2 linked regions of the Drosophila melanogaster genome follow. The protein of the gene in region 2 interacts with the protein of the main gene of each other region in a pairwise test. Each region holds a gene or a part of one and is shown on either strand. Other genes may lie near its edges.

Region 1 (5,089 bases), on a different chromosome or scaffold from region 2:
CGCATCCCGTTGAACAGTGGAAAGTGGCAGTGTAGCGGCTCCTGAAACCGCACGTCCAGCTGGCCGCCACCTCGCTCCTCTGCGATGTCAATCAGCATGGCTGCTCCGTAGAGCAGACGGAAGATGCCCAGGGCAGCTCCATCTACGGGTCTGTTTAGCCAGCTGGTAAAGTTGGTCAGGCTAGTGAAGTTGCTCAGATCGTGACCGAGGCAATCTCGAAAGAATGCGTTTTGAGGAAGGAAGGACTTCTTGGCACTCTTGTGATTTACATCTGTGGGGAATTCTTCCGACGACCTAGGTGTATCTTTGTGCGGAGTAGCGTCCTCTGTGGCACTGGGTTTCGTGGGCAGCTTTCGCTTGGAGTTGGCCATTCTGCTGAATCTTGAATCTGTAAAGAATGCGAAAGAACACGTCCTTTGCAAGTATAGTAAACGTTATCCTTACAGATCTGCCCATAGATGACCCAAAGATCAATCCCCTCGAATGGTTGTTTGGTATTTAAGTTTTGTAGAATTTATTGAAAAAGTTGACATAAATACATGCATGCATATTGTTGTATACTAAATATATAATATATGTGTTTTACATTTCGTTTGCTGACTCTTGCGTAAATATCTACGGTTCTGTTCGGATCGCTGGCGTGGAGTCCACGGAAAATATTGCTGTCGGATCGGTGTAAAAAAATAGATCAATTACGAAATGTACATCCATTATACTCGGTCAGTGAGTTATTATTGCAACGGATTTGCCCAGCTTCGTTTCCTCTAGTTTCGTCTCTAGTCCTGTCCGTGTGGAACGTGTGTGGTAACTGTGATAACTGCCATCCGGGCCGGCGGACATCCCAACTGGGAGTGCCGGCCGTCGAAAACGCAAATGCATATATATATATACTTTCGATCTGAATCTGAATGGGTCTAGCTGCTGGCCAGTGTCCTGTGCAGTGGTTCGCAAAATGTCCAAACGTCTTTGGGAACAGGAACAAGCTTTGAAAATGCCTCAAACTACATACATATACGAATACAATATAAGCCGTCGTCTGCTTGAATATAGGTTTTGATATTGGTTACGGTTAAGTACTTAATGTGATAGGTAGTCGCACACGCGTCGTAGTAGAATCTCCGTAGGTCTGGTCGATCCGTAGGATCCCCACACCCCGGAAGTGAGTTGGAAAATGAAGATGAAGGGAGAACCTCGGTGCCTGGATTGACTGGGTTGAATGTTTGATTGGTAAATGGTTTAAATACGCGCCTGAATAACCGCTTTCGGTGTGTGTGTGTGTGTGTGTGTGTGTGTGAGTGTCTCTTTAAGTACGTTTAGTTGGTTTCCTTAGTTTTCTCGTTTTGTTTTCGGTTTACTTTAATTTAAGTACGACAGTAATGCATAAATGACTAATATTTTTTGCTTCACATCTATTTTACTTGTGAGTTTGCCATTAAAATACTTTTGGTTTTCTTTATCGATTTCATTTCGTTATTTACGCAACGCTAAAACATTTTAAAATGCATTTTCAAAGTTAATTCAATAAATATGCTCTTGGTTTTCCATTAGATAGGTTCTGTAAGCTTTTAAAGATCTAGACAATGTTTTCGAGTGTCGAAAATTAGCATACAATGGGGGCACATAGTTGCTCCTCCGTCTGCTGCTCCATCAATCAGCCCAAGTCGGCGCACTCGGGGGAATCCGCGGTGTGCTGCAGTCCGTATAGCAACCCTTGTTTGCCAGGCCGCGATGCAGTTCCTCCTCTTCCTCCTCCTCCTGCTGCTGCTGCTCGTAATCATTCATCCGCTCCCTGCGCAGGCGCACTCTCTCCCTTGGCTACCTGCTCTCCAGCTGCTCATCCTCCTCATCCTGCTCAGCCTGTCCTATGCTCCTGCTTCACCCTCGCCCGGTCACCGCTCTCCCGGCTGCCGGGCCCGTTCCTCTAGAGGCGATTCTGGTTGAGCTGGGAGCGCGGAGTGAAGGGACTGACCATCACGCCGCTGGGCCAGATGGCCTCGTTGAAGAGCTCGTTGAAGCGGTAGTCCGGAATGGAGATCTTGAACTTGCAGTACGACAACTGCGACAGGTTGGCATCGTTCTTCACCAGCTTGGTGCACTTGACCAGGTTCTTGTTGATCTTCAGCTCCTCGGCCAGGTGATCGATCACGTCCTCCTCGCTGGTGTTCGTGGCGAACTTGCCCACCTGCACCCAGCGCCCGTAGTCGCAGACCACTTGCAGTCGGTCGGAGTTACAATTGTTTCCTACCACAATGAGGTTGTTCTGCTGCGGATGCTTCTTCCCGTCCAGTCCGCCACCCAGGCCGCCGCCACCCACGCCGGCGGCCGAGGCGCCCAATGCCTGAAGCGGCTGGTTGCCAAACTGGAAGTACTGCTGGTACATACGGCCCTGGATCTGGTTGACCCCGTTGCACACCTTATTGACCTTTTCCTCGATGGTGTGCAGCTTGGCCGCGAAGGCTCGTGGCGACTGGTTTTTGCACTCGTCGCAGTGAAAGGATATCATCGAGTTCTTCTGGATCGCCTCGAAGACCGCGTCGTCGATGTTGACGCACGTGCGGTGGTACCTTCTCCGGCAGTCCTCGCCGCTGCACCCGATGCTCGTGGCCTCCTTGGCGGCGATCGATTTTTTGCACTTTGGGCAGTTATTGTTGTCGGCCATGGTGACTTTGGTTGGTTGATTGGTTAGTTGGCTGGCTGGTTAGTTGGTTGGTGACTATCGATTTCGATTCTGAATCCGAACCCGAGTCTGATTCAAGCAGGCGGAAAAAGAGAATTCGAACTTTCAGGAAAAAACACACGCACACTGTGGAGTCACACAGTGGGTATATACACTACGGCCACAGCAACAACGGCAACAGCAGCAGGCAGCAGCAATAACAACAAGCGAGAAATTCGAGCGAAAGTCGCCTCCTCTCCGCTCCACCCTCTCTCACTCTTCTTCCTGTGTCTGCGTCCGTGTGTGTGTGTGTGTGTGGCGAGTGCTGTGTGTGTGTGTGCGGGAAGAGTGCTGAAATCGGGAAAGAGAAAACACGCAGACGACCGAAACTTGACAACCGCACGCTCCGAAGTTTGCAGACTGACTGTGCGCGAGCCACCGATTGCGTTTCCGAATTCGAGACCAGGTCCGCCGATTCGGATTCGGAATAGAAGTCGGAATCGGATACACTCGGCACACCGTGCAATCCCAACACCACATGCAACCCCCGATAAAGCTGCCACGCCAGGGGTGGCTTTAACCACTATTCTCGCCATATGATTGACCAGCCGCCGACCCGACTGGCAACCAGTTTTGTTCTCGCCAGCACTCACCCCCAGTGCCACTCGATTGGGGCTCCTCTGCACGACAGTGTTGGAAATAGGGGTAAGTGCAGTGTGTGCAGTAGAAGGATTGAAACACCGTTACACCAGTGATTTTAAGGTTATATGTTTTTTTCACATTTTATACATTTGTATATTTAACTGGCCAGATTGATGAAACATAATATAATCTTGGATATGATATGTTAGCATAACATTTTTACTGTAGTTTGGCATCGCTTTTATGCTGTATAATTATAAATCGCATATTCTAAAGATTTGTATTGTATATGATAGATTGTCCTTGAATGTGGAACTAGAATTCCAAAATAATACTTTAAATACTACCATGCTTTCGGAAGTAGCAATAACTTTACTTATAGTACAAATCGTACGAAGAGCACTACTTACTTTGTGTTGTTATGGCCAATTAAAGCGGAAATGGGGTCAACTTTACATACAAGTCGTTATATCAAATCCCCGGCTTACAGTCACTTCTGCTCTGCTCACAATCGCTTTTCAAGGCAATTAATCAAATTCACACCCGTAATTTGCTGCAGTTGGGGCAGTAATTGGGGCCGTTATACTGCTCCCTGCAGCGCGCCACCCGCCGAGTGCAACTGGCAACAGTTGGCCGTTTCCCGGATGAACTCTCACCTGCGGACGCAGCGACTGGGAAAAGGGAATCGCGAGCAACACGGTCCGCCAACTGAGGCTGTGCGCACGAGCTGCGTGGTATTTATACGCCACTCTGCTCCACTCGGAGATGTGTCCCTTCTGCTTTTCCTTTCCCTAATCCTTGGTGTCGCAGAGGGGATGATGGCCAAGTGATGTGGGCGGAAGTGGGGGTGTTTGCGCATGTCCTTGCCGGGAAATGGCATCGAAGTTGATAACAATAAACAAGTGATTTTTCGTTGACTGCGAGTTGAGACCTCAGAGTTACCAGGAATGCAGGGACTTACAATTATGCATTTTTCAAATCGATTTTTAAATATGTTAGCACATATCAAGTATACATACGAGTGGAACTCGCAATTTAAATCTATAAAATTTGTAGAACACCAACTATTTGAATAGCAAGTTTCTAATAGAAACCAATATACCCCTGGGAAAAAGTTGGGAGGTGTTAGAATGGCAGGAAAATGCAAATAAAATTTGCAGGTGCTGCGGCAGCAGCTGTTATTGTTTGCCATCCGCCGCCAGGATTTGCCTGGCGGACACCTGCGGTAATTGGGTTTCATTAAGTGCTGGTTGCCGGGCGGCTTTGGTCCTGTTCCGTCGCAGGGGCCATCGATTCCTTTGTGGAGCCTTGTTAGCGCCGCTCCAATTTCGCGTCGCCTGCATTGTCAATAGATTTTAATCAGGTGTGGCAAGTGTGTGTGTGTGTGTGGTAAATAGGCGCCTGGTGCTCCCCCACTTGTCTGACATAAGCGTAGGCTCCCCACCGCAGACGGGTTTCTATTTCCATTACCCTGTTTGCACGCTGTCTGCGCCCCAATTGGTATTTATGTATGCAGACCAAGTGCGCAGTTTAGTGCGCTGGATAGTATGCTACACTTTTTGTGTGCTCCTATTTTTAGGCAGCGCATCCTTTGTCGCCCAATTTGGGAGTTAATCTGGTTCACGAGCTTGGAGAACATGTCAGCATTGGGAAATTTCCACATAATTAATATTTAAAACAATGAAGTTATTGTTTTCATTTAAATACCCACCTACTTCAATCAATATGCTTACCCAGCTTTAGAAAACACGTTGGTTTTGTTTTTATTTATTTATTTAAATAATTATGTAT
Region 2 (3,386 bases):
GCGTGTTGGCTCCTTTGACAAGCCGCCATGGCTGTCTACTTAAATGCATTAGCTCGGGGGGGTGGAATCCTTCGATTGGGCTGCCTTTTTAATAGACATTAGTAAACGCATCAGTGATTGTTTGTTCGGTTGGCCGGGAAGGCCATCGGCCATCGGCCATCAGCTCTTGTGCAGACAACTGCAACTGAAACGGATGCTAAATGGAAGTGACATTACAGCCAGACCGACCCCAGGAAGTGACAAAATGAATTATGGACCCTGGCTGCGATCCAAACTCCCCAAAAGCCAAAGTCAAAGCCAAAGTCGGAACAATTGTTCCCTCCGATGCCACCTGATCCATGTTGAACCAGTAAATGCAATTGCGACACGTGCTCAATGAATGTTTAATGATTTGTTAATTGGATTTGGGCTTTTAAAAACACGGCTCCCCGTGTCCAATTCATTTGCTCGAACCCCAACGCATCCTGTATCGCCGGGATCCCAGGTCTTTGTGCCAATAAGTTTGCCGTCGCTCATCAATATTTATGCCAAACATGAGCGGCCAAATGCCTCTGGGATCGCCGCTCTGTACCAGGGACTTAAGCCCCTGACGACGGTCTGACAGTGGTTGGTCCTTAATGACGGCCCACTGTTATGCAAATGGGTACGCGGCCAAAACGCAAATGGGTCATACAGTGGAGCATCCATTGACAAGTCGAATATGCATAAGTAATTATGTATAAGAATTTCACCTTAATTTCCTTTGAGACACAATAAAAGGCGTTCTCTGTTAGGGGTTTACGTAAGTTATTTTCCTGGAAGGTTCCTTTAAGTTTTTGTTGGACAGCTAAAAAGTTATTTGATCAAACGTTTAACATTAATATTTAAAATATTAACAAATGCCAAGTGAGATTCTAGGAGAGTTATGTAAAAGCTTTAAGCATGATCTTCTATTTGGAACATAGTCTCGCAAAGGTTTCTTGTCAAGTTTTTTTTTAAAAACGAAATATATTCTTGAGTTTATTATTCAAAACATTTACAGATCTAAAAATTTTGTTTACGAATTGATATACTGAATTAAAACAATATAAGTAACAAGTCACAGACAGATTATCACACAGGAGAATATCGGAGATTTGGCGCTTAGATGTGGGCGCGATTCTTGTAGTAGCACTCGAATAGCTGATAGGCAGTATCGCACTTATCCGCTCCCTTGGTGGCATCACACTTGGCCTGAACGGCCTTCACGGCATCCTCGCCGGCCAGGGGTCCCAACTTGGCCAGAACGACATCGGGCTGGACCTCACCATTGATCAGGAATCCGATTTTCTCCAAGAAACAATTGGCGAAGCATTTCACCTTGGGGTCACTGTCATCGAAATTGCCGTTTCGCAAGGCGATCGCCTGATCCTTGGTGATTCCCTCCTGCTGGGCACAAAGGGCGCCATTGGCATGGGCCACAGCCTTCTGCTCATCGGATAGTTGCAGCTCCTATAAGATATATTCAAAAGATACACTTAGCAATACTACCCCTTTAAATCAGAAACTATTTGTAACTCACAGCAGCCGAAATGGCCAAAATGACGGAGAGGACAATCAGGAACTTCATTTTCGGTAGAGATGTTGTTGGAAACCCTTTGGTATCGAAACTGTTGAATTTATTCTGTTAGCATCTGCCTTTTATACGATTTTGCATGCAGCTTCGTCAGAGTTTTGTTTTGATTATCGCTTTTTGTTTTCGCTCTACTCCGCTGATCACACTGTATAAGCAATTATTACACATACACACGGCAATACACCGGTTAGTTTACTTAAACCCTCTCCGATCTTGTTGATAACCCGAAACTGACTCACTTTTTTTTACCATTTCGGTTTAAAGTTCAACAGATACTCGAATCAGTAAATGAAGCAAGTTCACTGCGGCTTTCCATTGTACCTATAATTGGCCCTAATGCCCCAGACTCGGGCTTATTATTAGGCTAAAATCGCTTCAAAGCCATAATGTAAGTGCTAATTGTAGTTTCAGATTTTCCACCGATTAAAAGTGTGTTGTACTTCCCAAGGGTCAGAGTGCCCAGCGAAGCGTCAACGTCAACTAATTTGATTTAACAATACACGTAACTCCAAAACCTTAAACTTGAAATACAATCTAACGTTGATTTTTATGGAGGTGTTAAAACAAAGTGCATGCAAAGCATGATAGGGGAGTTTTAGAGAATAGAATATAAAAGCAACATTTTATATTACTTACAAAAATTTTTAGTAACACTTAAAATTTAATATAAGTTAACGGAGGCCATGAGATGCTCGAATTATTTGTAAGCCTTATATAAGGTCTGCGCTTAAATATATTTCTTCATTCCCTATATATAACCCTTATAACCAAAATATATCTATTAATACCACCATTATAAAATTTGTCTCATATTAATAAGGCTACCTCATTACCGCAACAAATTATTTCTTGGTGATTCTAATGCCATTATTAATAATTAAATAATTTTGTTAATAGACCCTTTTTTTGAAATAAGTCTGATATTACATGATAAAATTAATGACGAACGTCTGATTCGTCAAACCTGTTTTAACTTTGTCAGTTGTTCTCCTACCTATTTTTATTGTTTTGTTGGTTTTTTCCAAAGTCTGAAGTCAAGTGCGGTTATCAAAGTCCAAATATTCAGATGACTCTCAAAATCTCAAGTCCGTGCGATCAAACTAAACTGGTTTGCAGATTAATTTGTGGCACAGATGTGTCTAGCTGATTAACAATTAAAGTGACATTCGGGTAATTTGCTGATGTATGTATATATATGTATATATTTATGCATGAGTTTTAAGCGGAACCGTTTAAGTCGGCTAACTGCCCGAATTATTTAATTATGGTAATAGAGGCAGCTACCAAAGTTGATGCCTACGTGCCAGAACTTTGCCTCATATATTTTATCAATATTTACTGCTGACAGCATCGATAATTCATGACCTACTCAAACTATATACCGGTGCCTGGGTCACCCCCTGGACTTTCGGAGACGAAGTTACCGGAGCGAACTGGTAAATAGTTACGCACGCCAGGGAAAACAAATGTCAGAACGATTATTGCGGCCCATCGTCGCCTGCCAGGGCCATAACAAAAGTAAAATATTTAAATAGTAATAAATTCATAATGTCATCGTGTATAATGCCCCACAGCTCCTATCGGAGACCTTCCAACGATTTATAGACAATAATAACTGCAAACACGAAGCGGTGGCTGACTCCTCAAGTAGTTTGATTTCAGTTCAAGGAGGTGGAGGTAGCCTATTCAACTTTTCCAGCTTTTCCACCTGGTGAAGAAGTTCGCTGTCCCCAAAAGTTTCCTGTAGTGGAAAGGAATAAAACTGTTTTATCGTAGACATGATAGAACGGGA

The links.
Region 1: the proteins of Obp56d (region 2) and CG13928 interact in a two-hybrid assay, tested with the Drosophila melanogaster proteins (one large-scale study listed by BioGRID).

What each region holds. Positions count from the first base shown.
Region 1 is NT_037436.4:1,625,291-1,630,379, forward strand, and holds CG13928 (uncharacterized protein), read right to left. Parts: upstream 3,088-5,089; 5' UTR 2,660-3,087; coding exon 1,922-2,659; 3' UTR 501-1,921; downstream 1-500. Other genes in the region: GC (gamma-glutamyl carboxylase), read right to left, coding at 1-371.
Region 2 is NT_033778.4:19,702,163-19,705,548, forward strand, and holds Obp56d (Odorant-binding protein 56d), read right to left. Parts: upstream 1,754-3,386; 5' UTR 1,589-1,753; coding exon 1,541-1,588; intron 1,471-1,540; coding exon 1,123-1,470; 3' UTR 762-1,122; downstream 1-761.